Linked DNA regions of Oryctolagus cuniculus. The protein of the gene in region 3 purifies or fractionates together with the protein of the main gene of each other region. This does not show direct contact. Links are inferred from orthologs where the notes say so. Each region holds a gene or a part of one and is shown on either strand. Other genes may lie near its edges. The genes, in order: POMP, PSMG3 and PSMA7.

Evidence for each region.
Region 1: the proteins of PSMA7 (region 3) and POMP purify together in Homo sapiens (co-immunoprecipitation; 4 studies listed by BioGRID and IntAct, with this or other methods). This does not show direct contact. The link is inferred for Oryctolagus cuniculus from reciprocal best matches to the Homo sapiens genes PSMA7 and POMP.
Region 2: the proteins of PSMA7 (region 3) and PSMG3 purify together in Homo sapiens (affinity purification with mass spectrometry; 3 studies listed by BioGRID and IntAct, with this or other methods). This does not show direct contact. The link is inferred for Oryctolagus cuniculus from reciprocal best matches to the Homo sapiens genes PSMA7 and PSMG3.

What each region holds. Positions count from the first base shown.
Region 1 is NC_091440.1:85,852,588-85,860,201, forward strand, and holds the start of POMP (proteasome maturation protein), read right to left. Parts: upstream 3,734-7,614; 5' UTR 3,543-3,733; coding exon 3,540-3,542; intron 1,290-3,539; coding exon 1,192-1,289; intron 818-1,191; coding exon 757-817; intron 1-756. UniProt on the Homo sapiens protein: Molecular chaperone essential for the assembly of standard proteasomes and immunoproteasomes. Degraded after completion of proteasome maturation. Mediates the association of 20S preproteasome with the endoplasmic reticulum.
Region 2 is NC_091450.1:36,700,721-36,707,699, forward strand, and holds PSMG3 (proteasome assembly chaperone 3), read right to left. Parts: upstream 3,787-6,979; 5' UTR 3,659-3,786; coding exon 3,640-3,658; exon of another isoform or gene 3,545-3,639; intron 3,469-3,544; coding exon 3,218-3,468; intron 3,067-3,217; coding exon 2,914-3,066; 3' UTR 2,723-2,913; downstream 1-2,722. Other genes in the region: TMEM184A (transmembrane protein 184A), read right to left, coding at 887-1,791. UniProt on the Homo sapiens protein: Chaperone protein which promotes assembly of the 20S proteasome. May cooperate with PSMG1-PSMG2 heterodimers to orchestrate the correct assembly of proteasomes.
Region 3 is NC_091442.1:1,219,837-1,227,393, reverse strand, and holds PSMA7 (proteasome subunit alpha type-7), read right to left. Parts: upstream 5,508-7,557; 5' UTR 5,392-5,507; coding exon 5,296-5,391; intron 3,562-5,295; coding exon 3,435-3,561; intron 3,021-3,434; coding exon 2,896-3,020; intron 2,520-2,895; coding exon 2,397-2,519; intron 1,955-2,396; coding exon 1,835-1,954; coding exon of another isoform or gene 1,808-1,834; intron 1,207-1,807; coding exon 1,076-1,206; intron 936-1,075; coding exon 875-935; coding exon of another isoform or gene 796-874; 3' UTR 660-795; downstream 1-659. Other genes in the region: SS18L1 (calcium-responsive transactivator), read left to right, coding at 5,853-5,921.

The DNA.
Region 1 (7,614 bases), on a different chromosome or scaffold from region 3:
TTTTTTTTTTTTTGACAGGCAGAGTGGACAGTGAGAGAGAGAGACAGAGAGAAAGGTCTTCCTTTGCCGTTGGTTCACCCTCCAATGGCCGCCGTGGCCGGCGCACCGCGCTGATCCGATGGCAGGAGCCAGGAGCCAGGTGCTTTTCCTGGTCTCCCAAGCACCTGGGCCATCCTCCACTGCACTCCCTGGCCACAGCAGAGAGCTGGCCTGGAAGAGGGGCAACCGGGACAGAATCCGGCGCCCCAACCGGGACTAGAACCCGGTGTGCCGGCGCCGCTAGGCAGAGGATTAGCCTAGTGAGCCGCGGCGCCGGCCTGTCTTCCCTACTAAAATGTATATTCCATAAGGAAGGGATTATGTCACATCTGTGCACCTACTGTGCCTGGTGGATATATTCCTTACTAACTTTGAGAGGCACAACCTGAGAAAGAGTTCAAGGCTAGAGATACGGCTTTGGAGATCAACAGTAAAAGTATCAAGGGAAAAATGCATAAGAAAACACAAGTATCAGATGAGAAAATTATTCTGAGAGGAATTGAGAGGTGGACCAATCTTTAGAGATGTACATAAAAAAGATAGGAAAGGATGCATAGAAAGGGACTTTTAGTAAAACAGTATAATAATTTGAAAGCCTACCCTATAAGGAGGTGGAAAATAAGACCTCATATTCTTCACAGTCAAAGCTTTAGCAGCAGAATTGTTTTACTAAAATGAAACCATCCAAGTATCAATAAAAATAGGCAACATACTTACATTTTTTTCTGATAATTCAAGAGGGTGACTGGGCAAAAGTTCATTTTTCACACAAGAAAAGCTGGAAAAAAAAAAAAAAAGAGACAGTAAATATCACAGTACTAAGATCAAAACCGTACACATCAAGGGTCTGACCAGAACGCCAGGATGCGAGCCAGCTACTCGGGTGGGATGAAACTGCTCTGTACTGCAGCTGTGGAGACAGTTCCAGGAATTCACACGACTACACACCAAACTATCCTATCCTGGAACGACCAGCTTCTTCCACCGCAGGAAACAGCCCGGACTCTTTCCTAGCCCATGCTGTTACTGTTTACCACGTCCCAGATCACACACACACTTACGGTACAGCAAAGTATTTAAAGAATATTATAAAGTATGTTTCACAGACGCATTTCACTCTAACAAAGCTGAAGTCACAATTTCTCCACATACCCTTTCCGAAGAAGATCGTGACTTTCAAAGGGCCCACTCGCTGAAAGTTCAGTGACTGGAATACTGTCCTTCAGCTGAGATCCAAGTCCTCTGGCATTCTACAACACAAATAAAAAAAACACTATTATTAAACACAAAACAGATACTAAGCACACATACACTGAACACTGACAGAAAAAAAAAAAAAAACACTGTTTAAGCAGTAGAAGGAAAAGATAAGGTCTCTGCCCTCAAAGAGCCTATAGGCAAATAATTACAGGCTTTGAGCATTACTGCAGAGGGGCATGTGTGGTGTAAGAACCAAATTTCGGGGTGGAGAGGACTCCTGGACTGCCAAACTGAAAGGCATTCCAAGAAAAGAAATAACAATATGCATAAAAGTATGAAAATATTAGTTCTCCCTCAGCATCCATGGGAGATTGTTTCCAGGACTCCTTTCAACTACCAAGCTCTACAGATGCTCAAGTCTCTAATATAAAAAGGTGCACTATTTCCAAGTAACCTATCCATATCCTCCCCTAACCTTTAAAACCATCTCAAGATTACTTATAATACTTAATACAATGTAAATAGTTGTTATATAACATCGTTTAGGAAATAATGACAAAGGAAAAAAAAAGTCTGTACATATTCTGTACTGTACAGACATAATTTTTTTCCCCTAATATTTCTGACCCAGCATTGGCTGAATTTGAGGATGCAGAACCTGGGGACATGGAGGGTCAACTGTGTAAGAGAACAAGCTACAAGTAGTCTGGAATGACTGGCCAAATATCTGGATGAATGGGGCAGAAGTAAGGGCTGAGAATATGAAAAAACGGTAAGCCTCAGATGCACAGAAATTTGGGTCTTATGCAATTGAGTCTCAGAAGGGTTACGTTATGATCATGTTTGCTTTCACTGGCAACAATGCTCCCTTAGGTTGGGATGTTTAACAAAGAAGGAAAAGGTTGAGGACTGAATCCTGGGGAATATCATTCCTACGGACAAAGAAAGAGCCAAAGAAATGGGATTAACAACAGCCAGAATAGCTAGAAAAGAGAGGTCATAGAAGCAAAGAAAAAGGGGGACTTTCAGGAAGTCTTTAGCTTCTATAAGAGGCAAGCACTAACTATAAAAAATGAATTTATCTAATCAGGATAGGATAAAACAAAATAAAATCTGATTTGCAGGGAATTACACTGATGCATAATCAACTACACTTCTGCACTATAAAACTTGCAATCACCAAATACTTACTGGGCACCTTTTATGTATTAAGTAACCTGCTAGGTGCTGAGAACATGTCTACTTCCCAAGGGCTTAATCTAATAAAAACAAGGTTAAATAAAATGTAGTGTGACACAGGTAAAACACAGGATGCTGACCTTAAATCACGACTTTTCAAGTACAATAACCCTGCAATTTTGCGGAAAAACGTGACATAGCTACAGGCAGTTGGTTATTGAGTCTGATATACTATGCTGGGCGAGCTAAGAAGCCAACATCTTTATTCATTTCATGACTCACACGTATTTTATTTGGCCAGATATTTTATCTGGTCCAGACTCTCACAAATGGAGGATTCCAACAGCAGTCTAGGAGGTCCTGCTATCTTACACTCACTCATTTTCCAGGTCTGCGCAGCAAGGCTTCCTAAAACACAGCGCCCCTTCCACTAACAACTACTACAGAACTTTTCATTCATTCACCAATGTCTGCAGGATAAAGCCCAGAATCCTTAGCCCAGAATCGAAGGACTTGAACAACAGGTTCCAACTCCCCCCCTACAAGCAGTCATGGTGGATTAGGAAAAGACCCTGGCAAACTAGGAGTAACTCTGATTCCCACCCCTCTCCCCCCCACCTTGCATACTCTCATAGATGTTTGTGGAGTAAAACCGGGTTATACAAATGCGCTCTACAATTGTGGTTATCAACCAGCTACAAGGGCCGGGGATGTGGGCGGGGGCCGTGGCTTGCAGACCCCGGGCTAGCGGAGGTTTTCCCATCAGGGACGGTGTAGTCTGCGGCGCCACCCCCACGGAACGTTCCTGCTCCGCGTACCCACCACGGGGAAGGGCCCTGGGCATGCTGGGAAGGCGCAAACTAAGCGAAAAGTCGGACAGGGAGAAGGGACAGGATAAAGCCCAATCGCTGCTTCCAACACTAGCGTCAGACCCGGGCCCGGCGACGGCCACCATCCGCCCCAACCCCGTGACTCGACAGATTCTCATGGCTTCCGAGGCCGGCCTCATCCCCACGCTACCGCCGCCACTACCGCGGGACAGGCTGAGGGGAGCGATCCGTTGCTGCCTGGCCATTCTCCCGGGGGCGCCTGGCCCTCGGGCTGCCCAGGCACTCACTCACCATCTTCAACCCGCTCAGCGACGAGCCTCAGCCCCGTGACGGTCAGCCTGCCCCAGCGCTCACTTCCGTTTCCGGGGGCCGCCCCGCTACATCCGCCGGAAGTGCGTCCGTCCGGGCGAGGAAGGAAGAAGGGCGCGGGGTGCGGGGAGGGAGTCGCGCGGGGCCTAGGCTCCCACGCTTGCTGTCCCGAGGGAGCAAGGGCCAAGGGCGCAGTAGGGTGTGGGCTGGGAGGAGGGCGGGTTCGGGACGAGACGTGCGGCGGGGAGGGAAGACGCGGACTCCGCTTTATTAATAGCCATTGCCGTTTGCACAGGGTAAATGCGGTCTAGGTGGGTTGAGTGATTTGCCTGAGGTCGTTCATCTAGAGTGCCGGAAGCAGAATACAAGATTTTTATTTATTTTTAAACATATATCGAAGGCCTGTGTTCAGAACACTCTGATGAGGCCAAAGAATCAGGCTGATGTCCCTGGGCTAGAGGAAGGGGCCGCGGGGACGGGGCGGGGGGGGGGGAGTGGTGAAATGCAATCTTGATTGACATATTGGGCTCCCACAATTACGTATCAACACAACGATCAGTGTTTTACAGGAATTACCCCCCTCAGCCTTTTCAGTACCTTGAGGCAGGTACCACTCTTAAACCCAGTTGTGTAGGCGAGGAAACCTAGAGAGAAAGCGGTTGAAGAAATACACCCAGAGGCCCAGAGCATAATGTCATAGTAGCACCGCTATACTGCATTGTCTTCCAGCTACAGTATAAGATCTTTGCTTGACTGTCATGTAATGGAGACAATTTAAGGAATCCTTGTGCCGGGGACCCAAAGGATAAGACAGGAGTCATTTGGGGCAGTAGGAAGAACTTCACCTGAAGGTGTGCCTGGGGGAAAACTGAACTGAGGGAGAAGGCCTGGCTAGCTGATGTTCAGAGAGTAAAGTAGATGGGGCCTACATTTTTTATGCCGTCCAGATTAAAGGTGAAACCATTGTCTTAAAAGCCATTGAAGGAGATTGGAGGGGGAGGTGAAAGAGATTTGTTATTACTCTGTGCACAGGCATGGGCATTACTGGGATAATCTAGCTGTGTTCCCTACTGCTGTTTTTATAACTTGTGCTCCTCTGGAATATTCATATTTTCCTTGAGATTTGAGCTTGAATGTTTCATTTGTATCTTTTCCCTTTCAGTCAGTCCCACCTCAGGGGAAGTTTTTAAAACTAGAACTCTTTTTTTTTTTTTAACAAAGACTCGTGTTTGTTTATTGATCACCATTCAATGAATATTTGTGGAGCATTTGCTGGGTACTAGATTCTGGAACTATATAGAAGAAACGGACATTTTCCTGGGGAGATAGACATGTGAACAGATATTTACGGTATATGGTAAATGCTTGATAGAGAAAGGAATTGAGCTAGCAAGTATTTTGGAACAGAGAAAAAAGGTATTCAAGGAAGAGGAAGCATGGGAAGGTGGGGATTTCTGAGCAGTGGAAAACTCCATGTTGGAGTCCTGGGTGAGCAGCAGGAATAAGAAGAGATGAGATTGGTTGGGGCCGAAACAAGGGGTCTTACTTGATGTGCTGAGGTTTGGGATGTTTCCGTGAGGGCAATGGGACCTAGTGGAGATCTTTTTACAAAAGTTAAGCCACATTCACAGCATCTGGCAAGAACCCTTCGCCCTTGTTCTAGCTTGTTCCCCATTGGTGACCTTTGGCTGCCTCCTGTATGGGCCCTCTTCCTGTATTTCATCTTGTCCTAGGGCTGAAATCTTAGTGCTCTCTGAGAACCTTGAATTACACTTGCCCTTGCTGCTTTTGTTCTTTGTCTGAGACCAAACCCTACCCACAGGCTGTTTTATCTTCACAGCAGTGTCCTGTACACAGGGGGCAGGCACCCAGGCAGGTTTTAAAATCTAATAGGGAGTTTTTACAATTTGGTAGAAGCTAGAAGGTTTTGAAAAAGACATGGAGAAGTAGGAAAGTGTCTCAGACCTCAGGAATGTCTCAGGAGCCACAAAATGTATTATATCTAGATAAAGGAATGACCAGTGATGTCAAGAGTTATGGGAAAAACAATGGAATTTGGCAAACTGGAGATCATTGTACGACCTGTTGAGGGATGTAAGTAAAATGGTGGGAGAAGAAACCAGATTGCTAGGAACGGAGAACGATGTTAGCCCATTATGTCCCACCATCCTATATATAGGACACCTACACAAACTTAAGCAATAAAGCTACAAGTTATGCTGATTTTGAAATAAATATTAAATCACCGAAATATCTGCAGAATTGAAACATGTGTACTGTGTTTTTCTTCTATATCAATACCTAGGATAAAATTTATAAAAGTCACAGTAAGAGAATAATAATAAAATGGAACAATTATAGTAATATACTATTATAAAAGTTATATGAGTGTGGCCCCTCAGACAACTTTCTGTACCATAGATCTTAGCGTCTTCAGCATGTGATTTTTTTTCCTTGTTAAATAAAAAATATTCACCTTTTCACTCAAAGAAAGCATTTTATGACTTCTGTTTGGTTGTCTGCATTGTCAGCATCATTGCTCCTGTGTTTTGGGGCTGTTATTAAGTAAAATAAGGGTTATTTGAACACAGGCACTGTGGTGCTTCAACAGTCAATCTGATAACCAGGATGGTTACTAAGTGACAGGCAAGTAACATGTGCAACATGGACAAAGTGATAGATCATGCCCCCAGGAGCACAAGATTTCATGACACAGAAAAGTGCACCAAAGTTCCGTTGTTTTCTGCAGCAATTCTCTCTCTCTCTCTTTTTTTTTTTTTTTGACAGAAAAGTCTTCCTTTTTCCATTGGTTCACCGCCCCCCCCCCCAAGTGGTCGCTACGGCCGGCGCACTGCGCCGATCCAAAGCCAGGAGGCAGGTGCTTCTCTTGGTCTCCCATGCGGGTGCAGGGCCCAAGGACCTGGGCCATCCTCCACTCCCTTCCCGGGCCACAGCAGAGAGCTGGACTGGAAGAGGAGCAACCAGGACAGAATCTGGTGCCCCAACCGGGACTAGAACTCGGGGTGCCGGCGCTGCAGGCAGAGGATTAGCCTAGTCGGCCGCAGCGCTGGCCTGCAGCAATTCTCAGAACGTAGGGGCAGATCAAGAGGGATCAGAAAGCATATATATGGTGACAAGGAAGCAGGACAGGTCTTCCAGGTGGCCATAGGGGTCCCTGGGTCAGATAGACAAAGAAAGTAACCAGAAAGGAGTGCAGTGACCCCTCCGCCTGCAACCCTTTCTCCCTAGGCTTCTAACGTCCTCTTTATTGGAAGCCTCTCTGATGCTTTAGTCTCTAGACTACAGGCTCCTGGAGGCTGAGCAGTGTGATCTATCTACCTTCGAATACCCACGCTCCCACACACATATTTGGTGAAAGCCTGTTGTTGAACATCGTCAAAAACTCCCTTTCAGACTGCGACTTATAATGGGACACAAGTGAAAGGCAGGTGCACGAATGTGGGTTGAGCAGTGCTGATGTTAACTAATGATCAAGCAGTCAGTAGTGGGGACGCTTTTCTTGCCCTGTGAGTCCGGGAAGGTTAGGAGGAAGAGCAGACACCCCTGACAAGCTTTGGAGGAACGTGGCATCATTTTTGAAAAAGCTAAGTTTCAGCAAAGGTTGAGACATGCCAAGAAAACTTGTGGTAAATTAAAATATATATATATGCTATGTATTTCAATTTTTTTACACCAACATAATCTTTTATCCCATTTTCCTTGAACTTTTTGAAAGTTTCCCCATACATACTTTAATCTTTAATGCTTATTTCCACTGACTTATTTCCATGAACCCGGGACTATAGCTTTATACTATTGTGTAGAAATAATAGAAAAGTTCATATGAACTGTGGATTATTGAATGAAGGGTGTGGTAATGGAAAGGTGAACAAACAGTTGTGCCTATAAGGCAAGACTGACTAATCTGAATGGGGAATTGGTGGATCCTAGCTGACCTATTTATGTCATTTCCAGAAGCACCTTCCTGGGCCTGGTGCTGACCCTAAAGCTCAAGCCCTGACTCCCTACCTGTTGCATCTCCTTCCCTCCAGGACCA
Region 2 (6,979 bases), on a different chromosome or scaffold from region 3:
AAGCTTCCTGTGACCGGGGCACTGCAGGTGCCCCGGGGAGCTGTGCAGGCCAAGAAGCCGCCTAGCCGGTCCCACGCCTGCACACCGCCCTCTGCCCCGGGTCTGGCTGGCCGCCTGCCTCTCACCCTGACGCCCGCCTCCACACTACCCCGCCAGGCCACCCCCGGTCCCCCTGCAGACAGAGGACAGGGCCCCTGCTGTGGGCGCACAAGCCTCCTGCGGAGCGGACGGGGTGTGCACCTCCCGCCCCCAGCCAAGCAGCTGGCGCACTGTCTCGGGCAGCATGATGGATGGCCCTGACCCAGTGGCCGCCCCTCCGGGGGTGGGGCGGGCGGGCGCCGCCCTGGCTCTGGGACTCCCCTGGAGCCCGCCCGCAGGTGTGCAGTCAGCGTTGCCGCCTGGTGGCCATGATGCCCGCCTCACCTGGACAGGTGCAGCCCCTACAGCTGAGCGTCCCGTGGTGGCACTCAGGCTGGCCTCCCTGCCACCTGCCCTTCCTGGGCGGCCCCAGGCAGATCAGACCCGGGCAGAGGCTGCCTGGCAGGGGCCGGAACGGGCGGCGCTGGCTCTTGGCCGCCTGGTGTCCCCACGACGTGGGCGGCCCTTCTGCTTCCAGCTCAGGGCTGAGACAGGCGGGGGCGCAGGGCGGATCCCGGCCCCACCAGCCCACGCCTCCTGCAGCTGTGCCCTGCCCCTCCCCCAGCGCACAGCGAGCCTGGGAGGGCCGTCCAGGCGTCCTGGACCCTGGGGACGGGGTGCTGACCCGGCTGCCAGAGCCCCTTCTCAGGAGAAGCCGGGGGGTCTCCGGGAGCCTAGTCCAACAGCGGATCCTCCCTGCAGGGGCTCCCATGCCAGCCTGGCCCCCACGCCCTGCGCACACACTCACCTCCCTGGAGGCTCTCGGCCGCCCCACCTGTGGCAGGCCTTCAGCGGGGGGCTGTGGGGGGCCTGGGGGCCCAGCGCTCTGCTGCCCCTCCTCGCAGCTGCCAGGGAGGGGACTACCGCTCCCGGAGAAGCCCGGCCTCTCTCACACCCAGCAGCTCCTCCCAGCCCTGCCGGCCCGCCCGGCCCTACCTGCCTGGGTACAGCTGCTGCGCGGCCACACCCTGCACACCCCCTCCCGGGCTCCAGCACCGGCCTCCGTCTGCTTCTCGCACAGGGGTCAGGGATCCACAGGTGGACGTGGGCTGGCCCCTGCGGCGCTCCGGCTCTCGGCATGCGGTGAGGGCTCTGCCCACCCCAGCCTCGCCAGCCCCACCCACACCTGTCACAGGTCGCAGCCCTGGGCCCCCGGGCTCTCCTGGGTGGCCGTGGGCGTGTACCTGTGTCCTGCCGCGGGCGTCCGTTCCTCACCGACCCCTCTGCCTCTCGCTCCTGGCCCCATCCCCTCCACACCGTCATGTGTGCCACATGCGTGTGGGGCCGCAGCTCCTGGCCTCGCAGCCCAGTGGACCCCCAGGCGTCCTCGCCAACACCAGCAGACGGGCTCGTCCCGCCACCGCCGCCCCCAGGCCTCCCCAGCCCTGCTTCACCCAACAGCAGAGGCCGCCCTTCGGCAGCGTGGGCCGCGCTGCTCCCTGGCGCTGACCCACAGCACCGAGCCCTTCGTCGTCCGGGGCGATTTGTCACTTCCGGCTGGGGAGGGGTGTTGAGGACTAGGTCAAGCCGAGCACAGTCGACCCCCGAGCCATCTCGGCAGTACCCAGGCCCGTGCCCCACAGCGAGCAGGACACCGGGGGAACCCGGGGAGCCTGCAGCCCGGCGCCCCCCCCCCGTCCGAAACGGACGCATGCCCACATCTGCTGTGTGAACCACAGCTGGGGCGGCGAATCTGGGAGCTGCCGCCCCTCGCCTGCGGCCGGAGCCCGGACGACTGGGCCATTTCCTCTAACGCCCCATGGCTCTGGGCAGCGGGGAAGGACACTGGAGGGGGCACGGGAACCCGGCTGTCCCAGCACCAGTCACAGGGCCGCCCTTAGGCCCGCGGTCGGGGACCCGGGCAGACAGCACCAGCAGGGCCCGGCTCTCAGGGTGCTGCTGGTACAGGCGAGTGACTTCCCCGGCTCCACCGGGGCCTGGCAGACGGGAGCCGGGGCACGGGGACCACGGAGGAACAGAAACTGGGGAACAGTGGGCCCGCTCCGGCCCTCAGCTTCCTCACCTGTGAGACGCCCGGGGCGGGCGGAGCGGCCACACCTCAAGCCCAGGCCGCAGCCCCGGGCCCGTCCAAGCTCCTGACCCTGACCCCCGACCCCTATGTTAAAGGAAGCAGGCGCTGGGCCTCCCTTCCTGGCACGGCAGCACCCCCCACCCCACGCAGGGAGCAGGGGCAGAAGATGAGGCCGTGGAACTGTGACCTGGGAGTCCCGCCTGCCAGGGACCAGTCTGCCTCAGTGGCCCCTCCCCGCGGCACAGGCCGGGACGGGCCCCCCTCCCGACTCCTGCAGAGGGCGTCAGCGACACAGGTACCCCAGCAGCTGGGGGGGGCCCTAGAAGAGACCGTGGGCTCCCCTGAGGCAGGGGCCGCGGCCGGACAAAGATTCCTTCTGTCCCGTCTCGGGCACACGTTTGACTTCACCACACCTGCAGGTCTGGGGGCACCCGGCGATGGCCCCGCCCCCAGGAAGGGCATCCTGGGGGCTTCTGGAGTCCACCCGGACAGGGACGCTGAGCTTGGGGGTCACCTCCCGCCCTGCCACCGTCCCTCGTCAGGACCCTGAAGCACGTTGGGAAGTGTTTACTTTTAATTTAGAAAAATATCCTGTGGGCAGTCCGGCGCCAGCCCTCGCGCCTGGGCACCCGGCGGGAGGGGCCAGCGCCAGGCCGGCCCTGCGCCCGGGCCGGGTCCGCAGCCAGGGCAAGGGCCCGCCCTCCGCCCCGTTCAGCGTCCAAGCCACCGCAGCGCAGCCGGGGTCACCACACCTGGCAGAGCCGGATCAGCGCCTTCAGGGCCTGCAGCCCCGCCAAGCTCTTGTCTTTCACGGCCACGGCGAGCAGCACGGCCCTGTTCCCGGCCTCCTGAGACACGAACGCCACCAGGTTCTTCGCGAAGACGTGGATGAGAGGCTGGGGGAGGGGGAGAGCAGGCCGCTTGCTCCCCGCCCGCACGGAGGGACCCCAGCCCGCAGCAGCTCAGTGCGACCTCCCAGCGGCCCAGCTCCTCCGCGGGGGGCCCCGCCCCCGTCCTGAGGGACAGCTGCAGCCAGCCCGCCCTCACCTCGTCCTGCCCGAGGAGGACCCTCGTGGAGACCACGGGCCTGCTGAGGTCGCCGGCCACGCTGCTGGGCTCCAGGCTGACCAGCGTGCCCATCTTCCCGAACTGGGTCACGACCACCAGGATGTGGCTGGCGAAGGCGGTGCAGACCACCTGCGTGGGGACCCCGCACACCACGTCCGTCTTCTGTTTGGACACCACCATCGGCTTGTCCTCCATGGCTGGCTGGCTGGCTGGCGTCCGCTGGGGGTCGACTGGGAGAGACACAGTCGGCACCGGCGTGAGCAGCCGCCCCTCCCCCAGCCCCTCGGGCCCGCAGCGACCACCGACCCCGGGAAGCGGACCCGCAGTCGGCACCCGCGTGAGTAGCCGCCCCTCCCCCAGGCTCCCGGGCCCGCAGCGACCACCGACCCCGGGAAGCGGACCCGCAGTCGGCACCGGCATGAGCAGCCGCCCCTCCCCCAGTCCCCAGGCTCTCGGGCCCGCAGCGACCACCGACCCCGGGAAGCGGACCCGCAGTCGGCACCGGCGGCCCGGCGCGCCGGAAGTGGCTCGGCGGGAGGACGCGGGCCCGCCCCTAAGTCCCGCCCCCGCCGGAAGTGCAGCGCGCGGCTTCCGGCCCCAGGGGCCGGCGCGTGAGAGGTTCGGGGGTCCTGCGCGGGCCGGGCTACCGCGGGGCCGACGTTCTCGGGCCGACCCTGGGGCTGGGCGCGGAGCGGGCTCCCGGGCCGTCGCTGTGTCCCGGGCTGCGGGTGCGGGGCCCGCGTCCCCAGGAGGAGGGCGCGGGGCCGCCGCGGGGTGGGGTCTGTGATAGCAAAAGCGCACCCAGCCGGTGCTGCGATGCGGTGAGCGGGGCTCGCGGCGGCGTCTCCCGCTCCCAGGCCCGGGTAGGCGCCCTGGCTCTCCCAGATCTTCCGTCCGCTGGCCACTCCCCAGGTGTCCGCGACAGGCCAAAGCCAGGTGCTTCTCCCGGTCTCCCACGCGGGTGCAGGGCCCAAGCACTTGGGGCATCCACCACCACCCTCCCGGGCCACAGCAGAGAGCTGGACTGGAATAGGGGCAGCCGGGACTCGAACCGGCGCCCACCTGGGATGCCAGTGCTGCAGGCGGCGGCCCCTAGGAGGCCGGTCCCTGCAGGGGAAGCGGGTGCCCAGGCCCCCTAGGCAGGGTCGTGTCCCTGGGAAGCCCGAGTCTGTGTTGTTTGTAAGTTGACCCACCTGGCCACCGCCCGCGCCGGGGGAAACCTTGCAGGGGCCGGCTCGCTGGGATTCACCTGTTGCAGGTGTCTCGCTGCTGAACCCACTCCACACCGGTACAGGAGGGAAGGCGGGGGCCAGGCGGAAAGCCCTGATGAGCAGGTCCTTGTCTGGCTCAGGGTGGAGCCTGGCGGAAGCCGGGGCCCGAGTCCTTCTGTCCAGGGAGAGGACTCCTGGTGGCCTGGGTGATGGTGGGGTGGGGGAGGGGCCTGCCCGCCATTGACCGGCCTCCAGGGTGAGGGGTAATTAGAAAAAGACCCTCAGGTGAGCTCACTCAGAATGGGACCCAGATAGGAGTAGGGCCAGTATTGGGGTGAGAGAGTTTGGGGAGTCACCCTGAACAGTGTAGGATGGGGCCCCCCTGCAGTGCCGGCATCCCCTGTGGGCGCCGGTTCCATCAGCTCCCTGCTGTGGCCGGGGGAAGCGGAGGAAGATGGCCCAAGTCCCTGGGCCCTGCACCCACGTGGGAGACCCGGAGCGCCCAGGCTCCTGGCTCCAGATCGGTGCAGCTCTGGCCACTGCGGCCATCTGGGGAGTGACCCAGCAGATAGAAGGCCTCTGTCTCTCCCTCTCACTGTTTGTAACTCTACCTCGCAAATAAATAAAGCTTCCCCCAAAAAGTTTAAAAAAATATGAAAATATCTGGAACTTGTCTCATCTTCAAGAAACCCTAGTAGAGGCCGGCGCCGCGGCTCACTAGGCTAATCCTCCACCTAGCGGCGCCGGCACACCGGGTTCTAGTCCCGGTCGGGTCGCCGGATTCTGTCCCGGTTGCCCCTCTTCCAGGCCAGCTCTCTGCTGTGGCCAGGGAGTGCAGTGGAGGATGGCCCAAGTGCGTGGGCCCTGCACCCCATGGGAGACCAGGAGAAGCACCTGGCTCCTGGCTTCGGATCAGCGCGATGGGCCGGCCGCAGCGGCCATTGGAGGGTGAACCGACGGAAAAGGAAGACCTTTCTCTCTGTCTCTCTCACTGTCCACTCTGCTTGTCAAAAAACAAACAAAACAAAACAAACCCTAGTAGCAATCGCAGTTGGGGGAGGGGAGGAGAGGGCATCACCTAGCACCCTTCCCACACGTGTGGCCGCCCGGGGCTGGTTCCCAGGGCTGTGCGGGCGCCTGGGGCTGGGTGGGCACCCGGGGCTGTGTGGGTGCCCGGGGCTGGTTCCTGGGGCTGGGTGGGCACCTGGGGCTGGTTCCTGGGGGCTGTGTGGGTTCCTGGGGCTATGTGGATGCCCAGGGCTGGTTCCTGGGGCTGTGTGGGTGCCCGGGGCTGGTTCCTGGGGCTGGGTGGGCGCCTGTGGCTGGTTCCTGGGGGCTGTGTGGACGCCCAGGGCTGATTCCTGGGGCTGTGTGGTGCCCGGGGCTGGTTCCTGGAGCTGAGTGGGCACCCGGGGCTGTGTGGGTGCCCGGGGCTGGTTCCTGGAGCTGGGTGGGCACCCGGGGCTGTGTGGGTGCCCGGGGCTGGTTCCTGGAGCTGAGTGGGCACCCGGGGCTGTGTCGGCACCCGGGGCTGGTTCCTGGAGCTGGGTGGGCACCCGGGGCTGTGTGGGTGCCCGGGGCTGGTTCCTGGAGCTGAGTGGGCACCCGGGGCTGTGTGGGCGCCCGGGGCTGGTTCCTGGAGCTGGGTGGGCACCCGGGGCTGTGTGGGCGCCCGGGGCTGGTTCCTGGAGCTGAGTGGGCACCCGGGGCTGTGTGGGTGCCCGGGGCTGGTTCCTGGGGCTGTGCGGGCGCCTGTGGCTGGCTCTGGGGGCTGTATGGGTTCCTGGGGCTGTGCGGGCGCCCAGGGCTGGTTCCCGGGGCTGTGCGTGTTCCCGGGGCTGTGCGGGCGTCCCTGTCTTCCCCCAGAGCTGTGTGTCCCGGGCACACCAGCTTCCCTGGGCACCGTGGGCTCGGCTCACTCAGCCTCGGCAGCCCTGCCCACGCTCCCCCCTGGCTTGGGCTCCCTCTTGTACCCCAGCGCTGCACCCCCACACGGCCCCTCGTCTCTCCATGGGCCCTGCGGTGGTGGGGACCCGGGTGACGGACGGAACCTGGACACGGCAGGGACTCGGGGTGTGGCAGGTCCTCACGGAGGGTTATTGCAGTCAGAGCCTCTGTGAGTTTGGAGCAACTCCGGTTTTTAGCTTGAAGATGGAGATAGCCATCGGGCTGCCTCCCGGGGCTTGGAGGGTCCCCTGGGGGCTGCCCTGGGGGCTTGGGGGGGTCCCCTGGGGGCCGCAGCTTGGGCGGCTGAGCTTGCTGCAGACAGCAGGGAGCTCTGTGGGACAACATATTGGAGCTCCTGGGTTCAAGTCCCAGCTCCGGCTCTGACCAGCTTCCTCTAGCGCAGGTCCCCGGAGGCAGCAGGGGTGGCCCGGATGGCCCAGCCTTGGCAGGCATTTGGGGAGTGCGTGGGAGCTGTCTGTCTGCCGTCCCGGCCTCTCCAGGGAAGAAGAAAGCCTATCATTAACCAGTGTTCTCCAGTCCCAGAGTGGACACAGCATGTGGGGTCAGCCACCAGGACTCAGGC
Region 3 (7,557 bases):
CCAAGGTGGGGGCACCAGGAGCCCCGCTGAGGCTGCTGCTGCCTGGAGCTGGAGGGCGGAGAGCGGGACCCCTGCTCTTGGATGTGCGCAGCCCCTAGTGAGCACGCACGCAGGCTGAACGCGGGGGACTGCCTCGCCCCAGCTGGCGGACAGCAGCTCTAGACAGGGATGGACACGTCCCACACTGACACGGACGGGGCGCCCGCCTAGAGCCCCAGCTCCCGGCTACTGTCCACCCTGGAGAGCAGCAGTGGAGGGTCCACACTGTTGAGTAGGAGACCTGGATGAGTCTCTGGCTTTGGCCTGGCCCAGTCGCAGCTGTTGCCCGGCCAGAGGCCCAGCAGAGCTCTTTGATGTGAACAAGGAAGATCGATCTCTTTCAAATATTTAAGATAAAAGGGGGTAAAGCCGCTGCCTGCAGTGCGGGCATCCCCTGTGGGCAGCTCCACTGTGATCCAGCTCTCTGCTGTGGCCTGGGAAAGCAGCAGCAGATGCCCAAGTCCTTGGGCTCCTGCACCGCGTGGCAGACCCGGAAGAAGCTCCTGGCTCCGGCCACTGCGACCATTCAGGGAGTGACCCAGCGGATGGAAGACCTCCCGCTTTCTGCCTCTAACTCTGCCTTTTGAATAAATCTTTAAAATAATAAGATACACCATCTATTAATAAAAAAGGTTAAAAAATGGGAGGTTTACTGGAGGGCACGCGACAGCAAGAGCACGGGGTGGAGACGCCTGCGCAGCGCCTTGCGGTTCGTCCACGATCAGAATTTAAAAATCGTTACAGCCAGGAGAGTTCTCACGACGCTTTCTTCTGTTTCTTCTTTTCGTTTTCTTCTTTCTCTTTTTCAATTTCAGCAACGTATTTCTCAATTTCTTCAGGGTTTAAGATCTAGCAAGGAAAGGGGCTTGTTACGGCCAACGCTTGGGTGAGGGAGGCTGGGTTCCTGCCACGTGTGTAGTGTGCCCAGGGGCATGCCCAGGCCAGGGGACCCTGGGGGAGCCCCCTCCCAGTGCTGAGACCACACAGGACAGAGGACTGTGGGACAGACCCTCTCGCAGTGCGAGGCCCGCCCCACAGCAGCCTGTCTGAGCCCGGCGCCCAGCCCTGACCCCGAGAAGCTCCGCAGGACACAGCTGGCATTACCTTGAGGGGCTGATCCCGCCTCATGACCGCGAGTTCGATGTTTTTGCCACCAGACTGAACCACCTTGAGGGGAGACGACAGGACATGAGATCCCTCGCCCCACAGAGGGCCCAGACAGCGCCCGTGAGTCCCTCATGGCGCCGCCCCTCCACTTAGCAACCCCCGCCTCGCCAGGCAGGTGTGGACAGAGCTGGACCCTCGCCCCGCCAGGCACTGCTGTCAGTGTGGTTAGCTCCCCCCCTCGCAGCTCAGGCCTGGAAGGCCAAGTTCGGGCCATGCGCAGAACACACTCCCCGCCGAGGGGTGGGGTCACATCCCACCTGCGCCACTCGTAGAAAGCAGGGGCCGCGCTGTGGCACGGCGGGCTAGGCCTCCCCCTGCAGTGCCGGCTCCCGTACGGGCTCCAGCTCCCATCCAGCTTCCTGCTGAGGGCCTGGGAGAGTGGAGGATGCCCGCGTCCTTGGGCCCCACACCACGTGGGAGACCTGGACAAGGCTCCTGGTTCCTGGCTTCCGGTCAGCTCCCCTCCAGCCACTGCGGCCGTTTAGGGAGTGGCCCAGGGGATGAAGATCGCTCACTGCCTCTCAAAGCTTAGCAAGGATATGCCCAGAGCTCCGTGGGACCGGGACACTGCCCTGCCCACGCCCACGCGGCCGGCGTCCACCGTGTTTCCCGGACCCCGAGCACTTACTTCCAGGAGGGCCTTGATCACCAGCTTGATGGCCAGGTCGTCGGTCTCGATGGCGTCATCGGTGTAGTTCTTCTCCAGGAACTCACGCACTGACTTGGCGCCCCGGCCGATGGCATTGGCCTGAAACGGATGTGCACCCGCGGTGGCCCAGGGGTCCAGCTGCCTGCTGCCCGTGTCCCCAGGGGGCCTGCTGTTTGCTCTGAGCAAGCTGTGGCAAGGGGCAGCCGCTCCAGGTGACCTGCGGAGCCCCGTGGGCAGCCATGCTGAGTGGCCAGCTGAGCCCCGTGGGCGGCCATGCCGAGTGGCCAGCTGAGCCCCGTGGGCGGCCATGCCGAGTGACCAGCTGAGCCCCGTGGGCAGCTTCCTTCTGCCGATTCTTAACTGATCCTAACGCCGCCCTGCACCCGCACCCTCACGGTCCTGCAGGACAATCTGGTGCTCACGGCCCCCTGGCTCCCACACAGCCACCGTCAAGGCAGCGTGTACATCTGGGACGCGGTGACCTCAAACGCTGACGTGAGGAGTGGACGCTGCCGAAGCCGCTGCACCCTGCGGGACTCACCTTCCAGGCGTGGTACGTGCCCGAGGGGTCAGTCTGGTAGAGTCTGGGGGTGCCATCGAAGTCAAAGCCCACGATGAGGGCAGAGATGCCGAATGGCCTGCGACCGTTGCTCTGTGTGTAGCGCTGGAGCGGCACAAACAGGTCGGGGCTCGGACCAGGGAGACCGCGCAGGACGCCCGCGAGCCGAGCCCCAGCCAGGGGCGCTCTGCAGGCACCGAGACCCCCCACGCCTCCGGCCCGTTCTGCACCTGCACGCCCAGGCCCAGGCACTGCGCAGCACGCACTGAGCGCCTGGGAACTTCCTGCCAGGCAGCCGTCCAGCTGGCCACACGCTGGCTCGGAAGACGAATGGCGTCGCGCCACAGTGGTTCTCGGCTCCCTCCCACCCGCCTGGCAACGCCGCTAAGGACAGAGCCGGGCCTCGCTCCTCCCTCCAGCGCGCGCTGAGAGCCAAGGGGAAGCGGTGGACAGCAGGACGCAGCTGACCCCGGGCGCCCACCTGCTTCAGACTGGCGATGTAGCGGGTGATGTACTCCACAGTGACCGGGTCCTCCACGGTCAGCCGGTGGCTCTGGCACTCTACCCGGGCCCGATTGATGACGATGCGCGCGTCCGCAGTGAGGCCTGCAAAGGAGCGGGAGACTCCGAGCAAGGACGGCGTTGACCCTGGCTACTCCGCAGCCTGACCTCTGGGCACGGTCCCCCCTCGCCCTTAGCGGCCAGAGCGGGACCAGCAGCCTCCGGGGCTCTTCTGAGAACCAGGTCAGGGAGCCGCCCCGCGCCCTGGGGGAGCGCAGGGGCCGAGTGCGTGCCTCCCCGTCACGGGGCAGGTGTACTGCTGCTGGCCACGGGCAGCCCTGTCTGCCCTCTGCATGCCACAGGTCAGGCGGGGCTCGTGTTTGGGGGACAGAAAAACCCCCAAGTTAACTCCTGAAGTCCGAATCCACTGACGTCTGGCAACAGCCCGGGGCCCCGCGTCCCTCTGCACAGCCAGGTTCCACCGGGACCCTGAGTGCGGCCCTGGCCCCGGTCGCGCACCTGCGAACGCCATGCAGACGTTGTCGTCCAACGCGCAGATCTTGCGCACGGTCCTTTCATCCTGCAGCTTGGCCACCGACTTCTTCTCCACGCCAAGGACGACGATGTCTCTCCCCCGGACGCCAACCTCCAATGAAAACCACGGCCCGCATGAGAAACTGCGGAGGCGGGGCGCCAGGAGCACACGGCAACACGGTCCTGGGGCGTGGCCGGCAGCCGCCACGCGGAGCTGTGCTCACCCGCGCAGCCCACAGCTCACAGCCCGACAGCCCGGGCCCGGCACTGCGGGTAGGGACCTGCCGTGTGGGCCGGAGTCTGAACAGGGGCGCCGGCCGCAGGCGAGCTGTGAAGCCACCTCCCGGCACGAGGGAGGGGCCGCCTGCTGTCAGCCGTCGCCGGACACCGCCCGCCAAGGCAACCACGGGTGGGATTCAAAATCCGATAAATCACGGCAGGCTAATTATGAAGTGGACAATTCCGTACGACCGCAAACGGCCCGGCAGAGACAGGTTCCCCACCCCTGCTCAGAGGGCTGGGCTGGCAAGGCTGCAGACCATGGACCCACGCAGGGTCCCGGCTCCGGCCTAGACTGGCACCCACTGTCGCGGGCCCAAGGGGCGTGAGCAGTATGAAGGCCTCCCCGTCTCCTAACCAGGCGTGGGAGCCGCTTCGGCATGGGACGCCGAGCCCCCATCAGAGTCGGGGCGCAGCTCCCACCCCCCTCCTGGGAGACCCGGACTAAGCTCCTGGCTGGTGGCGGTCAGGGGCCTCTGGGGAGTCAGCCGGCGGGTGGGGGCTCTGCCTCTCACACACACCGGAACCTCAGGAATCGGCCATCCCACACGTCAATCAAACAGCCTAGAAACCAACCGCAGCAATCGGTGGGCGCCGCGCGTGCCCGCCCTCCAGCACAGGGCCTTTCAGCCCCGCCGGCCAGTGCCGACCTGGGCAGCCGCCCCCGCCCACGGCATGCCAGCAGCAGTCTCGCTCCACACGGCAGTGCCCGCGGGCCGAGGGGCACTGGCCCGGTTTCCAGGGAGGTCCCGGGTGCCGACTCGGCCAGACGCTCCGGGAGCCGCAGCTGTGCGTCCGCCCGAGCGAGCGTGGGTGGGGAGGAGGTCAGAGTTGGACTTGGGACCCTAATTGCAGGCGGTCACACGAGCCAGGAAGTGGCGACCTCAGAATCCGCGTCGTGGCCCTGAACGTCTAGGATTCTAAGGGACAAAAACGTCGCGCGCCACGGCGCTGTCTGCGAGGGGGCAGACGCTGCCCAGGCACCGCACCCCCGGGGGCCTGGCCCGGGGCCCCCCAGCCTCCTGTGAGAAACACCACCCCTCCTCCACATGCGCGCGCGCTCCCGAGGTGCGCCCAGGTGCTGCTGGTGGGAACGAGACAGGCGCCTGAGCCCCGAGCTCAACGTGCCCACCTGGGCAGGCAGTGGCCTGGCATCACTCCGGGAGCCGCCAGGACAGTCCCCGTGCGTCCGGCTGGCCCGCCGCCGGCAGGTGCAGGGCACGGCCCGCTCCCGTACCGGAAAGCACGCACCCAGAGGCACCCCGGGCTACTGGCCTGGCCCCTCACCCGCGGCCTCCGACGCCATGCGCGCCCCAGCGCCGCCATCGGCCCCGCCCGGGCTGCGGCTCCCTTCTCTGCGCCACGGAGCCGGCGCCCCGCGGGTTCCCAGCGGCCCGCTGGCCACACGCACGGCCGAAGGGACGCCGCGCCGCCGTCCCGGGAGCAGCGGTCCGCAGCCCGCGCCCCCGGCCGAGCCCAGGCCCGCCGCCCGCCGCCGCGCCCGGGCCCCCGGCGGCGCCCCTGGCCCGGGCCCCCAGCGCGCGCAGGCCCCGGCGCGGCGGCTCACCGCGGTCGAGCCCTTCTTAACGGCCTCCTGCGCGTACTCCACTTGGAACAGGTGGCCGTCGGGCGAGAAGACGGTGATGGCGCGGTCGTAGCTCATGCCGGCGGCCGCGGCGCGGGCCCAGGGCCACCCTCTCCGCCGCTCTCAAAAGCGCACACTCACGGCCGGCGCGCGCGCCCTGCGCCGCGCCCACGCTGCGCGTCGGTGACGTCACGGCGTCGGGCGGACGTGCGGGCGCGCGGCGGGGCGGGGCGGGGCCGGGCCTAACCACGGGCGGCGGGGCGGGGGGGGCGGCGCGGGGCGCGGCGGAGCGGGCGCGGGGCGCCGGCCGGCCGCCGGGGGGCGCCACGCGAGGCGCGGCCTCGGAGGGGGCGGCGGCGGCGGGAGGCGGCGCGGCGGGCGCGGCGGCGCGCGCGGGGCGGCGGGGCGGGCGAGCCCACGGCGCGGCGTCCCCCGCGCCTCCCGCCCCCCGGCGACTGCGGAGAATGAGCTCTTCGGGCGGCCGAGCGCAGCCGGGGAATAAGCCCTGATGGTCACGGGCTGAGCCCCGCGTCGCCGCAATGTCCGTGGCCTTCGCGTCCGCCCGGCCGAGGGGCAAAGGGGAGGTCACGCAGCAGACCATTCAGAAGGTGCGTGGGGCCGGGGCGCGAGGCGCGGGCACGCGCGGGCTGGGGCGCGGGCAGCCGGCGGGCGCGGGGCGCGAACAAAGCCGGGGCGCAGCCGAGCGGCCCCGCGCCCGCCGTCCGCAGCGGCGCTCCCCGGGGGGCCCACGCCCACTCTGCCGGAGGCGCGCGGAGACCCGCGGGCGCGGGCGAGGGCGCGTGGCGTCGGCCGCCTGGGAGGAGAGGGCGGCGGCGGCGCCCGTGTCGGGGGTCCGGGTCCCGAGCGCCGCTGGCCACGCGCGAGGGAGTGCGGGCCGGCCTCGGGGACGCCCCTCGGCGAGGCGCGAGCCCCCAGGGCACAAAGGACGCGGCGCGGGCTTGGGCGCCCCGCAGCGCACGCGGGTGCCCCGCGCCCGGGAACCCGGCTGTGCTGTGCAGCCCCGCGCCTCGGCGTGAGTCGGGCCGCGCGGGTGCGGGGGAGCGGGCACGTTCCGTTCTCGGCTTCCCCGCCCGACAGATAAGGAAGGAAGCTGGCGTTCGCCGCGCCCCTCTGCACGCGCCCGGCGCCTCGCGCGGCTGCGTGTGTTCCTCTGCTGGACTCTGTGGGTTCGCCGGGAGGGGTGCGCCCGCCTCTGGGGACGTGGTCCTCGGGCTGTCACCAAGATGGAGACCGATCTTGTCGCCACGGGATTGTCACGAGTGGGGGGCCTTGGGCAGCGCCGAGCCGGGGATGGTGACGGACGGGAGCCTCCGAGGGTGTGGAGTCGCAGGTGCTGTTTGAGAGCCTTGCGAATCTTTTAATGTGCGCTTTCTCTTTGAGATTTATTTGACACACAGAGTTGGAGAGGTAGGGAGAGGTCTTCCATCCGCTGGTTCAGTCCCCAGATGGCCGAAACGGCCGGAGCTGCGCCCAAAGCCGGGAGCCTGGGGCTTTATCTGAGTCGGCTCCCCGGGTGCAGGGCCCAAGGACGTGGGCGTTGTTCCGTTGCTGTCCCAGCAGAGTTAGATCAGAAGTGCAGCAGCCAGGACTGGCACTGGCGCTCCTGTGGGACCCGGCACTGCAGGCCGGGGCTTAACCCGCGGCACCAGAGCACCCGCCGCCGGGCGGGGGAGATTCTCCATCCGGCGAGCCTGCGACAGCCAGGGCTGGGCCAGGTGGGCACCGGGAGCCTGCAGCTCCGTCCAGGCCTCCAAGCCCCGGGGCCACCCTTCACGGCCCCTCCACCGTGTGCCAGTAGCACACAGCTGACAGCAACCAGCCTGCTGAGCCACGACGCCTGGCCCGGGCTTTGCCCGTCTTCTCCGCGTCCTCCGTGGAATTAGCGTCCCCCGTGTAGCTGAGGAGGCGGAAGCACAGGAAAGCTGCGTGCCGTGGACGGTGGCTGCGGCACGGCTGTGGCTGCAGCGCCGCATCGCGCGGCCTTTGGCTCGGCAGAGCGTCAGGCACGAGCCCCGGGGGCACGTGTGGGCATTTCTGGGGGTGTCCTGATGCCCTGGCTTTTTTTTTTTTTAAAGGATTCATTCATTTATTTACTTATGTATTTATTTTAAAGGCAGACTTACAGAGAGGCAGAGAGAGAGAGAGAGTCTTCCATCCACTGGCTCACTCCCCAGGTGGCCACAGCTGGGCTGATCCAAAGCCAGGAGCTTCCTCCGGGTCTCC